4 linked regions of the Mus musculus genome follow. Each later gene encodes a partner of the first gene's protein in a complex. Links are inferred from orthologs where the notes say so. Each region holds a gene or a part of one and is shown in the gene's direction. Other genes may lie near its edges.

Region 1 (3,512 bases):
AGTGTATTTAATGATAACCAAGGTACGCTCCTTCAGAGTGAAAAGTTCCAGGTCTGAACATCCTACTCTAAAAAAGCAAACAAAACAATGATTCTGGGCTAATATCCACTTATCAGTGAGTACATATTGTGCGAGTTCCTTTGTGATTGGGTTTCCTCACTCAGGATGATACCCTTCAGGTCCATCCATTTGCCTAAGAATTTCATAAATTCATTCTTTTTAATGGCTGCATAGTACTCCATTGTATAAATGTACCACATTTTCTGTATCCATTCCTCTGTTGAGTGACATCTGGGTTCTTTCCAGCTTCTGGCTATTATAAATAAGGCTGCTATGAACATAGTGGAGCATGTGTCCTTATTACAAGTTGGAGCATCTTCTGGGTATATGCCCAGGAGTGGTATTGGTGGATCTTCCAGTAGAACTGTGTCCAATTTTCTGAGGAACCGCCAGACTGATTTCCAGAGTGGTTGTACAAGCTTGCAATCCCACCAGCAATGGAGGAGTGTTCCTCTTTCTCCACATCCACGCCAGTACTGCTGTCATCTGAATTTTTGATCTTAGCCATTCTGACAGGTGTGAGGTGGGATCTCAGGGTTGTTTTGATTTGCGTTTCCCTGATGATTAAGGATGTTGAACATTTTTTTAGGTGCTTCTCAGCCCTTCGGTATTCCTCAGTTGAGAATTCTTTGTTTAGCCCAGTACTCCATTTTTAATAGGATTATTTGGTTTCCTGGAGTCCAACTTCTTGAGTTTTTTGTGTATATTGGATATTAGCCCCCTATCGGATATAGGATAGGTAAAGATCTTTTCACAATCTGTTTGTTGATTGCCGTTTTGTCTTATTGACGATGTCCTTTGCCTTACAGAAGCTTTGCAGTTTTATGAGGTCCCATTTGTCGATTCTTGATCTTACAGCACAAGCCATTGCTATTCTGTTCAGGAATCTTTCCCCTGTGCCCATATCTTCAAGGCTCTTCCCCACTTTCTCCTCTGTAAGTTTCAGTGTCTCTGGTTTTATGTGGAATTCCTTGATCCACTTAGACCTGAGCTTTGTACAAGGAAATAAGAATGGGTCATTTCGCATTCTTCTACATGATATCCGCCAGTTGTACCAGCACTATTTGTTGAAAATGTTGTCTTCTTTTCACTGGATGGTTTTAGCTCCTTTGTCAAAAATCAAGTGACCATAGGTGTGTGAGTTCATTTCTGGGTCTTCAGTTCTATTCCATGCATCTACCTGTCTGTCACTGTACCAGTACCATGCAGTTTTTATCACAATAGCTCTGTAGTACAGCTTGAGTTTGGGGATGGTGATTCCACCAGAGGTTCTTTTATTGTTGAGAAGAGTTTTTGCTATCCTAGGTCTTTTTGTTATTTGAATTTGCAAATTACCTTTTCTAACGCGGTGAAGAATTGAGTTGGAATTTTGATGGGGATTGCATTGAGTCTGTAGATGGCTTTTGGCAAGACAGACATTTTGACTATTAATCCTGCCAATCCATGAGCATGGGAGATCTTCCCATCTTCTTAGATCTTCTTCAATGTCTTTCTTCAGAGACTTGAAGTTCTTGTCATACAGATCTTTCACTTCCTTAATTAGAGTCTCACCAAGGTATTTTATATTATTTGTGACTATTTTGAAGTGTGTTGTTTCCCTAATTTCTTTCTCATCTTGTTTATCCTTTGTGTAGAGAAAGGCCACTGATTTGTTTGAGTTAATTGTATAGCTAGCTACTTCACTGAAGTTGTTTATTGGGTTTAGATCTCTGGTGGAATTTTTTGGGGGCCACTTAAGTACACTATCATGTCATCTGCAAATAGTGATATTTTGGTAGAAAACATTTAACAGGTAAGGATAATAATGTAGACACAGGTTAGAAAGGAATACTCTTTACTGAAAGGTTAAAAAATAACTTTTGTTTTAATGTTAAGCATTATTTATCTAAGTTGGTCATACTTTGATTTGTTTTGCTACATTTTGAGCACTTTGTCAAGTGGACTGTAAACTGTCATTCCTTTGAATATTTCTAAAACTTAGAGCTGGGAATTCCTGCCTCTGTGGATCTGGTGAGCAGCGACCCGAGCCATATGGTAGCATCGTTCAGCAAGGGATATACAAGCATCTTTAACATGGAAACACAGCAGCGAGTTCTCACGCTAGAATCCAATGTTGATTCAAGTATGTATACCAGTTTTCAAAAGTATAACTGCCACAGTCACTGTAAAGAATGCTTGAGTTCTAAACTGTTGTAGTGCCCACGCCCGAGAACACATTTACTTTAAAACAGTTGCTGTTGTTTTTTAACTTCAATATAGGCTAAGCAACCAAACAACAGAAAAACTTCACATGAAGAACTTTTTCCATATGGCTGGTGACATTTTCTGTTGTGTGTGGAAATAACAGACAGAGTATAGTAACTAATTTCTTTGAAAATTCTTAAAAAGTACACAACAACAATTGTCAGTATGCTACTTAAAAATTCAAAATCTGATGATGAATTTTTTTCCTATTAAGTTGCAAAGAAGGAACAAGGAACGATGGTATCTATGTTTTGATCACAACTATATGAATAGAGCTCTGTATGTAGAAGGAACTGAGGTTTAACTTTGAAGATGACTTGTGTTCAAGTGATGATAGAACCTTTTTGGTTGGTGTGTTTTTGTTGTGAGACAGGATCTCACTTGAATGTCTGGCTGGCCTGGAACTCTCTATGTAGATGAGCCAGGCTGCTCTTGAACTCACAGAGATCCTCCTGCCTGTGCATCACCATGCCCAGCTATTAGAACTTTACTAAGGAGCAAAGCTAGAGACGTGATGTCATCAGTGTCTCTAGTGTGTATCGGGGTGGAAAAGGGACTTCTGACTTGTCATTACCTGTGGCTGTGGCTCGTGGTTTAGCTCAGGTAACTCATTTTACAACACTGTAGCTGGAGACTGGGTAATTGACTGCAGCCAGACTAAAGTTGAATTATTTTTTTTTCTGCCTTTGTTTGGAAAAAAAAAATACTTTGACTAATTTGAATCATTTTCAATTTTTCCTTTTTAGCATCCAGTTCTTCCTGCCAAATAAACAGAGTCATCAGCCATCCTACCCTCCCAATCAGCATCACTGCTCATGAAGACAGGCACATCAAGTTCTACGATAACAATACAGGTAAGAGCTTTCTGAGACTGGATCGTGCTGAAGCCACACCCACTGCAACAAGAACCCAAAGCAGCCATGAGCACCTACTAAAAGCAAGCTAGTTGTGGGTCTTGATGGCCGCTCCACGGTCACGGAGTAGTCATGGAAGCACGCTGCAGGCCGCTTCTGTTCACTTAATGTCTTCTCAGATGGTTCCATACAGTATGGGATGGTTTTTAGTTTGTTTAATAGTAAGCATATTCTAAAGCCACGCACCTAGGCGCTGGTAGAAATGGTCTGTAACAGTCCATGAGTAGTGAGCATTAACAGAAACTTGTGGAGGCAGAGGCCGGTGATGGGTTTTACTTTAAGTTGTTCAGTTAT
Region 2 (4,223 bases), on another chromosome or scaffold:
TTTACTTAAGGGACAAGCTGGTTCTCAGGAGTTGATTCTTTCTCCTCCAGGGTGCACAGGCCATGATAGAAAGAGCTGTTCGTCATCCGGGGATGCTGTGTTCTGTGAGGCTTTGCCACTCCTGATGTCTAGAGGGTTGAGGCCAGTGACCAAGAGTCTTGTACCTGCTTCTTGGGGAGGGAGGTTTCTGGAGGAGGACACTGTAAAAAGTAACATTAAAACCATCTTGGTTACTCCTATGTGTTTGGCACTCAGACGTGACGGAGAATGAGGTGAGAGGCCACCATTTTTGGATGATTGCTCTTTGAGTCAATACAGATGTGAGCAGGTAATTCAGAGTAAACGAGACAGCTACAAAATGAAGGCAGAAAAGCAAGAGCCACTTCTAAGGGATTATTAAACACACCCTCATTTCCCCATGATTTCTCTGTTATATTTTCAATTTCAGTTTTATTTATTCATTTGTTTATCTCCCCCATGTGAATGTAAACTCCACGAAGACTAGAATCCTATTTTTGTTCATTATTATATCCTTAAAAGTATTTGTCAGTGGCTTGAGGACAGATACAACTTCATACTGTTATCCTTAGCCCCCAAGAGTCTCTCTCTCTCTCTCTCTCTCTCTCTCTCTCTCTCTCTCTCTCTCTCTCTCTCTCTCTTTCTCTGTCTCTCTCTCTCTCTGTCTCTCTTCACTTCAAGTTCAAGACAGGGTTTCTCTGTATAGTCCTGGCTGTCCCGGAACTCACTTTGTAAACCAGGCTGGCCTCGAACTCAGAAATCTGCCTGCCTCTGACTCCCAAGTGCTGGGATTAAAGGCGTGCGCCACCAACGCCCGGCTTTTTCCCCTGTTTTGATAAGTGAGATTATTAACGTGGCTCCAGAGGTGTCTTGGATGGAGTTATAATCTGATAAGTAAAACCAGGAGTCCCCAGGGTTGCACAAGGTGTTTCTTACAGAGTCCTACTGACTTGGAGGTTTTTCAGCTGGAAGGTTAGAGAAAAGCCACAACCAGTTGTTAATTGTACAGAAATTCTTTGCTAGGAAAACGTGTCAACTAGACCCATGAGTCAGGAATTGCTTTCTTTAATGATGTCTCCCTAATTTCCCCTTTCATCCTGCCTCACCTTGAACAGGGAGGGCTCTAAAGACAGGCAAAGCGATGATAGACAACGAATTAAAGTGTTAAGTCTCATGGATAAAAAAGACATCTAAAGGGATTCCTGCGAGCCCAGCCGCACGTCTCCGGCTTAGTTCCACGGGAAGGAGGGAGGGGAAACTAAATGACAAAGCCAGGAAAGACCTTGGGAGGTGATTGGCAGTTGCGGCTTTCGACACACGCAGCCACACTGAATATGGCGATTGGGGAAATTTCCTGGAGGAAATCACGCGAGAGTTGCCTGACGGGAGGCCGTCCGCGAATTGAGCCGGGGGTGTGGAGCAGCCAAGATGGAGCCGGCAGCCGCCGGTCCCGGCCCTCTGATTGTGAACAACAAGCAGCCGCAGCCGCCACCTCCTCCGCCGCCTGCCACCGCGCAGCCTCCTCCTGGGGCGCCGAGGGCCGCCGGAGGCCTCCTGCCGGGGGGCAAAGCCCGCGAGTTCAACCGCAACCAGCGCAAAGACTCGGAGGTCAGAGCTGCAGGGGGGCGAGGCTGGCACCGGGCGGGTGACAGAGGGGGTCCCGGGAGACCGGGGCGGCATCCGGGCCCAGCCGGGCTTCCCGACGGCTTGACAGGGACCCTGGGAGCTGTCACTTTACCGGGAACCGTGCAGTTAGCTAGGCTGGCAGCCGCCACAGCCCCGGGGAGGAAAGCCCGGAGCCCTGTCACCAACTCTGCTGCGGCCGGGGGAAGAAGGTCCCCGAGCCGGGGATGGCCGGTCGCCCCCGGGGGCGTGGCCTGAGGCACAGCCCTCCTGGGGTGCAAAATCGGTGGTCTGCTGGCTGGTTAGCCCCTCATCCTTTCCGGCCTCTGATCTTAGCAGGGTGGTGGGCCACGCCAGTTGGCAGCGAAGGGACCCAGGAGAGTTTAGCGGGCGCTTAGAACAGGGCTTCTCTCTCTAGTGCTGCTTGGCCGGCCCCAGGTTGTGTGAGTAGCAGAGAGAGCACATTGTGGCTTCCCTCCGAATTTTAGTCAGCGCTGGATCAAACCGCGGCCAGACATTGCCAAGTATTTTTGCATGCCCAGTGAGCCCAGTTGCTGAGCTGTGAAGGGATCAGAAGTACACAAAGGGCGCCGGATTCTCCTCCTTGCTAGTGAGCTGCGATTCCCTTTGCCCGCGCTGTCTGGAGCTATTCACCTCGCCCCAAGTTAAAATTCCTCCCACTGCTTCCGTTTGCAGAATTCATGAATGAACACACACCCGTCTCGTCGCAGCATTTCAGGGCTTCCTCATCAGCACATTCATTCCCAGAGCGCTTACTACGCAATCTCCTCCACCTGAGACAACTTCCAGTGTGATGAACAGCCAGGCACTTACCGAGAGGGAATTCCTCAAATTCAAATTTGATGCTTCAGCTAGTACCAGATACTAAAGATAGTGTCTTTAAGCCTAAGAAATCAGTTCCCTCCAAACATTTTGTTGTTGTCGCAGGCTCAAATTCTGATAACTTATGTCACAAAGGAACAAGCCCAGAGTTGAGAGGATGAGTTTAGAGTGGCTTTTTTGAAAAAGATGGACCTTTTAGGAGCCTTTTGTTGTGGAATGATGGGTGATCAGTGGCTACTTCTCAGTGATCTCTTAAGTACGAAGGAGTATGGAAGTTAAGTTTGTAAGACCTTTAATGACCAGACTTGTCCAGGTTTTCTGAAGAGAACCCTGAGAATTGAACTACACCTTCAAATTTCTCTTTTTAAATGTTTGAGTGGACTGGAGAGATGGTTCAGTGGTTAAGAGAACTTGCTGTTCTCTCAGAGGATCCCAGCACCCAAGTTGGGCCGCTCACAACTGCCTATTAGCACACTAGCTCCTAGGGATCCAGTACTGTCCTTTTGTCCTCCATGGGCACATGTATACACACACAGATAAACACATAATACATTTAAAATAAGTGCTTTAGGGATGGCGGGATAGCTCAGCAGGTAAAGTAGTTTTAAATTTTCCTGAAAAGCCACAAAATAGTCAGATAAATACCCTTTTGTGCATTTTATTTTATTTGTTGTTTGTTTGCTTCTTTGTTTTTTGTTTTGTTTTTGTTTTTGAGACAGGGTTTCTCTGTGTAGCTTTAGCTGTCCTAGAACTCTGCTCTGCAGATGGGGCTGGCCTCAAACTCAACAGAGATTCATCTGCCTCTTGAGTGCTAGGATTAAAGGTGTGCACCACCCCTTATTCGTGTTATTATGTGGTGCTGAGAATCAGATTCAGGGCCTTGTGCAAGGTAGGCAAACACTATACTGCTGAGGTATGTCCTCAGCCTCTATTACATGTTTTTATTTCTCTTCCTACCTTTAATTTCACTGGATTCAACATCTGGAAGGCCCATCACATCGATCTGTGTCCTTGTGTTGGAGGTGCTGATGCTGCACACCCTTCTGGTGACAGCTGAAGTCAGTAGTTTGGGGATCTGATCAGTGCCTAGAGCACAAGGAGGCTCAGTATGTGCCAGGTAAACTTTATTAGTCCTCAAAACTAGCCAAGGCAGTCGAGCATGCTTCCAGTCACAACACTCCGGAAGCTGAGCAAGGAGAATCAGAGTTCAAGGCCAGCCTGGGCTGCATAGTAAAACCTTGTCTCTATAAAAATACACTGGGGGGGGGGGGCTAAGAAATGGTAATGGATTTGGGGGTGAATAAGACCACAATATATTATATAATGGGAATGAAACTGTCAAAAAAAAAAAAAAGGTCTTAAGCTAAGTTTGAAGCAGAGTTTTGTCATTCCCATTGGGTAAATGAAACTCAACCTCAGTAATGTATACAAATGTTGATTTTAGTTGTGTTTTAATGGGACTGGGACTTGAACCCAGGACTCTACACATGGTAGGTAATCATTTTACCACTAAACTCTGTCTCTAGCCTAGAAGCTCAGTAGTGTATGGAAGTGTCCATTAGTGCCCATTAATAAGGAATAGAGTTATGGCTTGTGGGCATATTATGTCATGTCAGGGGTCATTATCAGTTAGAAGGTTTTCCCTGACCCCACTCTCCATCTCACTCACCCACCCAGCTGCATGCTGAGAATTAAGCCCAGGATCTAGCACCTACTAGGAAGGTGCTCTGTGCTGAACT
Region 3 (4,171 bases), on another chromosome or scaffold:
AAAAGTTATACTTAGGATAGGTTTAGCCGGAACCCATCCTATCTTATTATTTGCTTCTTTAACCCATATCTTTTGCAATCCAAAGACCCTGCAATACAACCGGTTATCTTGGATAGACTGTCCGTGGCAGGACAATCTGATAAACTAACACAAGCGTCAGGCACTGAAGAGGACAAAGTTATTTTCTTAGTGAAACAGTTACAAAGTGGTTCTCTATCAATGCCAATTTTGCCTTTTTAACAGCTACGCATCTAGCTTGACACCATCCACCTGGTACTCAATTAGCAGGGCTTTCTTCAATCTTGTGATCTCCCAGACCAGTTTTAATGGTGCAACTCAAAACAAAATCCTTAACCACGCCCTTAATATCCCAGGCAGAGTTACCTTTTGTTTTTTGTTTTTTTTCTCTCTCTCTACCAAAGTCTGTAATTGTACGTAATTGTACTGAAAAGGTTTGCACCGCGATCCTAAGTCAACATAGCACTCTTTCCTCCAGTATCCAGGCGTTCCTATTGTCAGATGCCTTCCTCCCCAGGTTGCTGTGCTGTAGCCCGCAAGTGGCGCCCACGCTTACCTCCTTCACACCTGCAATCCCCGCTCGGGATGCTGGAGAGGATGCTGGGCAGGCTGAGACTGCTCCGGATGCTGCTCTTGCCTCTCTCCAGGGAAACTACAGACTAGGCTGAGCTGAAGCTTCTTCTGAGATTCAAGCTCCGCCTTCCCCGCCTCTAATTGGCCGAAGCTCGGGCTGCGGCTCCTCCCACTGCCATCTGCGCAGCCTAGGCGCAGAGCGGTACCCGAGGTCTCTTAGTTCCTGGTGCTCTGACCCCTTCATTTCGGACTTTCTCCCCTCTGGCATCGCACCTGGCCCTTCCTCAGGTCCTGCTTAGCTCTTTTAGCCGGCTGGTCCAGTGAACACGGGAGTGGGCTGTCCTTTGGGGGTATGGGGGTACTGTTGCTTCGGAGTAGGCGGAGCCCACCGGTCTAGCCCCTAGAGCCTTCCTCCCCGCCTACCCATGGACTCAGCCCAGCCTCCTGTCGCTTGCTACCTCTGGCCCCCCGCCCTTTTCTTTACACCCATCCGAGGGCACCTCCCATCGGTGGGCGTGGCGTTGTGGGCTATCTTCTCATTCTGATTGGTGCAGGTGAGACTCGGCCCCGCCCTCCCTCGTTTCTGGGCGCGCTCTCTCTTCATCTCCTCCCCTCCCTCAAAGACAGGGAACTCTCTTCTGATTTGCTAGAAGTGTCCCCACCTATTGCCTAAGGCGTTCTCGCACAGCCTTCTGGGAAATGTAGTCTTACTATTGCAGGAAGTGCTAACGGAAATGGAGGGCGGAACTACAAATCCCCATCGGGCCTTGCGCGACTCCTGCTGGGCAGGATTCCGGACAACGCCTGGTTCCTTTCGGGTCCTTCCGGCGTCGCCGGAGTGAATTGATCCGGGAGTTGAAGAGGGCTCCAAAGGTGGGAAGTGAAGTCCGTGCCTCAGTTGCCGGTAAGGCGAGGTTTCTCGGTTCGGGTCCGCACGGCTCCGTGGGCAGCCAGAGCGGCCTGGGGTCAGGCGGGGACCGAGGCGGAGGTGCTGAGGCTAGGCTCTGGCCGGCGGGGCGGACGGGTGGGGAGCCGGGCCTTGTGGGCGTCAGCGAGGTCTCTACGCGAGCTGCGGAAAGCTGGGTTTGTAAATGCCTCCTGCCCAGCCCGGCCCGGCGCCTCCAGGAAGTCCGCTGTGGGTTTGGGTGGAGGGGAAGGGTGAGGTCGGCCTCCCGGGTCTCCACTGACCGAGGGGGCGGATGTGGTGGGGTGAGGTCCCGGGCAGGTGAGGCTAAAGCTTGGCTAGGCCTGGAGGGAGCGTGGGTGCCCGGGAGTCGCCTCCCGGTGTGGCTGGGGTTATGCCCTTTGAGGGAAGAAGAGAGACAGTGTTGACAGTTCCGACTCAGTTCCAATTTCCTCTCTGAGGAGGTGATTCTTAACTCGGAAGGTTTGTGCCTCTTGACTCCAATACGTCAGATGGATGTATACTTCTCAAGTGCCCTCGAAGCGCTTTCACTTTGGGATGCTAATGAGACTACTGTAGAAGCAAATGACGTGCCCAAGGTCACACAGATCTTCAGAGTCTAGTCCTCCGAAAGTCCAGTTTCTGACCAGAGTTGTCGGCTTAGGAAGAAAGAGTGGGGAGGTGGGTGGTAGTACTGGAAGCAGATAGAAGAAGTTGCAAAGTAGTGTGCCTGTTTGTCAGAAACGGTTGTGAGGTGCAGAGAGTTGGTTTGTTGACGTGGAGTGGAAGCTTTGCCAAAGCATCCTCTCTAATGTTCTGTAAAACAGGAAGGATCGCTTTAGCTTAGATCTTTACCCCTTTTTCTGGGGTCTACTGAATGATAACACTCACTTTCCACACGCCATTTTTAAAGGATAGATAATATTTAGGAATAGCTCAGTGTTGCCATTAAGAGAATAGTCCTTTTCATTTCTATTTTCTTACCATTTTCAAAAACTATGGGTGAAACTTTCACAGAACTTACTTTACAGATATTCATGCTTTCATTAAGTGAAAATTAAGTGCAGAATCTTGGAGAAATTGTACCATGTTCATTACAAGAAGTGACCCTTTGGGGGGGGGGGTCAGGTTTTTACTTTTCTCTCATTTTCTTCACTCCATGTGTAGACAGTAAAACATACACTTGTATATTTTCTTTTCTTGGCATCATCAGTGAGTTTTAATTCATTCTTATTTAATGTTAATGAATGATAAAAATGATGCTTCTATATTGAATGGAAAGAACTGCAGGCTTACTATGTAAATTAAAATATAAATACATAGTATGTACTGTAAGTATATATGCTATATATTGAATGTGCTTTGCTTGCCATGATTAATATTAATTTTTTTTTAATGCAAAGCTGTTTCTGGGATCAGAAGAACCAGTCAAAATGGTCTTGTTTGAAGGGGACTTTTAAAGAAAATGGAGAGTTGTGGTACCATAAAATGAAGCAAAATCAGGAATAATGTAACACCACACGTCACAGTAAGGGAAAAGTCACTAACAAAAGGGAAATTATCTGGGATTAATTGGTTTTGAAGTGGAGTTTGAAGTGCATTAATTTGAGTGGGCCATATGTAAGTCAGTGCTGGTAAAGCAAGAATGCTAATATATTTTCTAGATGACAGTGTGGACATTTGTTGTTTGCTGGGAAAGGTATGAAATAAGTTTTAAGTGGCACACAGCTGTGTTGGTTATGGAAGGACTTTTTTAACAACAAAAAAAGTTTTGTCTTTGATTTAGTCCTACTCCAACTCTGTCTGTATCTCTGAGGCCCATCATACTGTCCTGTTTCATCGTCACTACAGTGTAAGTGCTGAGATGAACAGTGAGATGAACAGAGAAGATGATTTTGAACATCCTTCAGGCTCTAGCTAGAGCTCACAGATCGGATGTTTGCCTGTAGTGTGCAGCTCTCTTTGCCCACATTTGTTCCCTTAAAGAGCTTTGCATCAACTCTCAGACACTATCCATTGCAGGACTTTGGAGGTTTTCCTTAAAGAGCCATCTCTCTCTTAAAGAGTAGTCTGTAAGAACAGGGTCTATATATTATTTATCTTTTTAGTCTTGGTAGAATAATTGAGTGGCTAAGGGGAATGGAAAAGGAATGGCTAGGTGACTTTCCCAAGGTCATATGACCTGGAAAAGATCAGCTTATAATTAATCCATGTATTTTCACTATAGGTTTTAATATTGTGTTCAAACTTCGATTATTTTATGTAAGAAAAAGACTGACCATTACAGATGTCACTATCTCCTTATTCTGTTTAATGCTACTAATTTGTCCTCAATTTCCTGAATGTCTCCAAACTTATTCTCAGCTGTCACCTTTTTTTCTCATATAAGTTTCTTCCTGATTTGGGGACAATTTTACAAATTCCAACTTTCCACCTGTCTAGTATAAGGGAGTTTTATTTTCTTTTACAGCAAAACTTCTGTGTAACTTAGCATTTTAGAAAACCTTGCTACTGCCTTTTTAAAAAGCAAATAAGATTCATTATAACAAAATATAGATATGGAAGAAGGTTTTTATGGACTCTATTCTTCCCTTAGATTTTAACTTCAAAACAATTATTTCACTTACCTTGTAGCTAAGGACACCAAAACTAGAAGTAAATTTACTCCTTGGGACT
Region 4 (4,176 bases), on another chromosome or scaffold:
GTATTAAAAAGCGAGGAGGGACAAGCCAGAAAGCACAGTTCCTGCTTCCCTAGGTAATGAGCTGTAGGCTATCAGATGAAACAAACCCTCTCTTACCCAAGTTACTTTTGGTCATGGATTTTTATCACAGCAATTGAAACGCCAAGACTGAAGTAAACCAAGTGAACGGAAGTTTCTTCTATAGAGCAGCATACTTACCACACTGAGACAAGACTTAATGTAATCCTTGGGTGTTCTCTGTGCTTCAGAATTTCCTCATCAATAAAAACTGGATTCGTAAAAAATAACCTGTCCGGAAGAGGTGTGGTACCAAGAAAACACATACAACGCTTGGCACAGTCCCAACTCAATGATCCTTTCACTGTCTTAAAGTCATGGGTTACCATAGCGATTTGGTCCCTCCCATTCCCTTCATCCATTGTCAAGCCAGACCTGCCAATATATTTAAATTGTATTCGGGAGAGAGCCGAATCCACAGCCTTCAACTACCCGGTTACCTTCTGGTTACTTTTAGCTCTTAGGGCGTAGGATTTTTTTTTCTTTTCAATTTAAATATTTATTTGTTTGTATATGGGAATCGGGGAGGACACCAGGAGCATGTGTGGAGGTCTGGTGTCAAAGGACAACTTTTGGCTGTTCATTCTCTCCTTCCACCAAGTGAGGACCCGGGGATCGAACTCAACATCTTAGACTTAGATTAGGATTGTTTTAGAAATGGGAAGGAAAGAGCAGCGGGTGAGGGTGGGAGCTTGCCATCTATTCGCACCAAAAAGAAGGCGCCCACACAGCTAGGGACAAATGACAGGGAGCAGCCCTCAGGGATTTCAGTTAGGTCCCTCCCCGCAACTCTCATTCTCTCCTCCAAGAGTTCTCTTCCGAAAGCTTCCTGAGAGGGTAAGTTTATGGTGTGGTGGCTCAGGTTATCCTGAAGGCCAAGCCCTTTCTGCGACAAAGCGGGATGTCACAGGCGTGCAGCAGCCTGGATGAGGGGGTCCGGGTCTAGTACCGCCGAAACGTAGGCACTTTGGACCAGGGATGGACTAGGGCTCTCAGGAAAAGGCTGCTATGTGGGACAGGAACAGCACTGAAAAGAGCATGCAGCACGGAGCTAAGCCGCCTTGCGCTCAGGGTTCAGAATTCGAATCGTGGAGCTGGACGTGGAGTCTACTAGTCCCAGGCTACCAGCAACTGAGCAGTAAAAATGCCGGGGGTCCATGGGGAAAATATTCCTTGAAAGAGCCCCCGCCTCTGGATGGCTGATTAGCCAATCGCATCTCGGGGCGGGGCCTCGGAGAGTAGTTACAGCCAATCGGAGTTCAGGGGGCGGGGCCTGGTCCCGGGCGCGCGCTGTGGCGGGGTCGCCCTGGGCAGAGATCTTGGAGCTACGGTAGGGAGCCGCTGAGGCGAACCGCTGAAGGGAACCTTCCCAGCATGGACGACCCCGCGGCACCGGGGCCCGCCGGCTCTCCTGCTAATGACAACGGCAACGGGAACGGCAATGGGAACGGGAACGGCAACGGCGGCAAAGGGAAGCCGGCCGTGCCCAAGGGCAGGGAAACGTTCCGCAACCAGCGGCGGGAGTCGGAGGTGAGGAACCCGGAGGTATCCGCCAGCGGGAAGCGGCGGCTGAGGTGGAGCGGCCCTCAGCCCGGTCCCTTCCCGCTGCGGGTCGCCCGCTTTCTTGCCTTGGCCTGCGGTTTTCCTAACCGGCGCGAAGAGCGTAACAGATACTTTCCAGATACTTGACAGCTGCCGCCCGGTGAAGCCGGAATTTGGATCCCGGTGTACCGATGGGGAACCAGCGCATAGAGGTGCAGGGACTGGACGGAGGGGCGGGAGCCCGAGCTCTGCCGCGGGAGGGGAGGGTGGGCTGGCGGGCAGCACGCCCTCCCTCTTCACACTGCAGCAACTGGCACTGGACTGGACCAGACCAGCCTGGAGCACCAGCCTTCCCCTTGCTATATCTCCTGCCCTCGGGTGATGGCGGTGGCTTAGGGAGCGCCTTCCGCGAACAGCTCGCCCCTTTTCTAGGAGGGTTGAAAGACAGGATTCAAGCTGGGATAGGACCAGGGCGACGTTTGAGAGTAGCAGTCCCAGGATGCAGCTAATGGGATGGCTATTTAAATATCTTCCACCTTTTCTTAGGAAAAAAACAAAACCAAAACCAAAAAAAACTAACTTGGGACATGGAAAGGAATGAATTATTATTATTCCCCTACATTTTATCTAGCCATATTCCATCTATCAACCAAGAGCAAAACTGCATACAAGCAGGGACTCAGGGGGAACGAAATGTATGTGGAAGGGGATGTGAAGGTCATCTGGTTTAGCCTTTATTTGATTCGATTTCATCTGGATTTAATTATTTGAGACAGCCCATGGCAACGTCTATTGACAACTTGCCCTGGCTGGGCTTGAACTCACTGTGTAACTGAGGAGAGCTTTGATCCTCCTGCCTCTGTTTTTCAGGTGTTAGGATTACAAAATATGCTACCACAGTGAGCCTAACCTTTCATTTTACTACGTAGAAGCCACGGAGTTGGGGGGATGTGGCTCAGTGATGGAGTGCTTGTGTAGCTTACACAAGACTCTAAATTGATCCCCAGCAGCAGAAAAGGGGTCTGGTCATCTAGAGACAAAAGGTAAAAGAGATAAAACCAACTCTCCTGAGATCAGACACTTGGCTGACAGTGAATGGCCAAAACCACCAAGTTTCAGTGTCTGTCTGGCCAATTGTCTGTCTGTCTGTTTCAGTACCTCCATTTATTATCTGTGTGGCTTTAGGCAAATTAACTAACCTAGTTTCTTTTGTAAAACAGTTACCACTGAATAACTCAGAAGGTTGAGATAATCGAACACAAAGCCTTTTAAACAGTTCATATAATTAATTGGTCAGTACTTATAACTGTCATCATTCTCGTTAAGGGGCAGAGGGAGTCCTAGTCTGTGGTGATTCATTTAAATAGTATTTCACAGTTTCCAAAGTGATCAATCTGTCTATTTGGTTATTTGTTGTACAGAGACCAACACTAGCATATACACTGCCATTAAGCTCTCACCCCCGTCTCCTAGTTCCTAAAAGGTAAATGGAGCAGGGGAAACTGCCCCCAAAGTCACCATCTTGTACAGACAGGGTTTCTTTGTAGGGATTTTCTTTTAAAAGTGCCTTATACCTCCTTCCTCAAGAGAGACATTGGTGTGTTTTTCGATGAAGGAAAAGTTTAATCTTGGCTCATGGTTTCAGAGGACTATTGTGGTGGTGAGGCCATGTTGGAGGACAGCTCAAAACGGAGGAAGTGAAACATTGTTCTTGATCAAATATTTTGAGGGGCTAGCAATGAAGTTACAAGATGTTAATGATATATCAGTGAATAAGGCAGAAGGGTCTTTGCCCTTCTAGAGCAAGCATTCCAGGAAAGGTGGGGAGACACAATATGCAAATAAATGACCCCAGAGTGATAGGCTGGGTCTTCCTTCTGAAGTAGAGGCATGGCACAATCCCCACCTGTCTCAGTCCCCTGCAGGAAAAAGGCTCTCGTAGTGTGTTGCTTTTGCCAGTGAGCTCAGTGTGGCTCCCCGGAGTTTCACCTCCTGACTTTCCGCAGCTGCATTCTTCATGCTTGGAAATGAACAACTGCAGTAATCATCTCTGTCTGGGCTCATTGCCTCCAAAAGCCTTGCTGGAAAAATTAGTGTTACTTCCACCTTCTAAGGCAAAGGGTATGACTGTTAGTACGTCCCCTGTCATCTTTGCAGTGCCCAAATCTGCTTTTCCTTCCCTCTTTGTTTTCCAGTAAAGAAAATCCTTAGGGAAAATAGTTTTCTTTTCCTAGAACTCCTGAAAATTTTGCTAGAAGAGAATTACAATTGGCACAAATCAAGATATAGATAGATAGATAGATAGATAGATAGATAGATAGATAGATAGATAGATAGATAGATATGCATGATAAGGGCATTTCTTGTACTTAACTCTTAGTCTTTACAGTGACCCAGTGAAGAAAACCTTACTATTGTCCTATTTTATGGGTGAGAAAACTGAGCATTTTCCAACAATAGTTACTGATGCCAACTGAATGTCCTACAAATGAATTCAATTCTGACACTAATTGCCCAGATGTAGTGAACATACAAGATTGCCCCCAATTCATATGCAAGCCACAACTGAAGTTCCTA

The links.
Region 2: Strn (region 1) and Strip1 share a complex: the UniProt entries of both Homo sapiens proteins name them as parts of the core of STRIPAK complex. The link is inferred for Mus musculus from reciprocal best matches to the Homo sapiens genes STRN and STRIP1.
Region 3: Strn (region 1) and Pdcd10 share a complex: the UniProt entries of both Homo sapiens proteins name them as parts of the core of STRIPAK complex. The link is inferred for Mus musculus from reciprocal best matches to the Homo sapiens genes STRN and PDCD10.
Region 4: Strn (region 1) and Strip2 share a complex: the UniProt entries of both Homo sapiens proteins name them as parts of the core of STRIPAK complex. The link is inferred for Mus musculus from reciprocal best matches to the Homo sapiens genes STRN and STRIP2.

What each region holds. Positions count from the first base shown.
Region 1 is NC_000083.6:78,656,554-78,660,065, reverse strand, and holds part of Strn (striatin), read left to right. Parts: coding exon 1-22; intron 23-2,041; coding exon 2,042-2,182; intron 2,183-3,050; coding exon 3,051-3,158; intron 3,159-3,512. UniProt on the Homo sapiens protein: Calmodulin-binding scaffolding protein which is the center of the striatin-interacting phosphatase and kinase (STRIPAK) complexes.
Region 2 is NC_000069.6:107,628,904-107,633,126, reverse strand, and holds the start of Strip1 (striatin-interacting protein 1), read left to right. Parts: upstream 1-1,416; 5' UTR 1,417-1,446; coding exon 1,447-1,626; intron 1,627-4,223. UniProt on the Homo sapiens protein: Plays a role in the regulation of cell morphology and cytoskeletal organization. Required in the cortical actin filament dynamics and cell shape. Part of the striatin-interacting phosphatase and kinase (STRIPAK) complexes.
Region 3 is NC_000069.6:75,554,046-75,558,216, reverse strand, and holds the start of Pdcd10 (programmed cell death protein 10), read left to right. Parts: upstream 1-1,364; 5' UTR 1,365-1,495; intron 1,496-4,171. UniProt on the Homo sapiens protein: Promotes cell proliferation. Modulates apoptotic pathways. Increases mitogen-activated protein kinase activity and STK26 activity. Important for cell migration, and for normal structure and assembly of the Golgi complex.
Region 4 is NC_000072.6:29,915,644-29,919,819, forward strand, and holds the start of Strip2 (striatin-interacting proteins 2), read left to right. Parts: upstream 1-1,369; 5' UTR 1,370-1,431; coding exon 1,432-1,587; intron 1,588-4,176. UniProt on the Homo sapiens protein: Plays a role in the regulation of cell morphology and cytoskeletal organization. Required in the control of cell shape. Calmodulin-binding scaffolding protein which is the center of the striatin-interacting phosphatase and kinase (STRIPAK) complexes.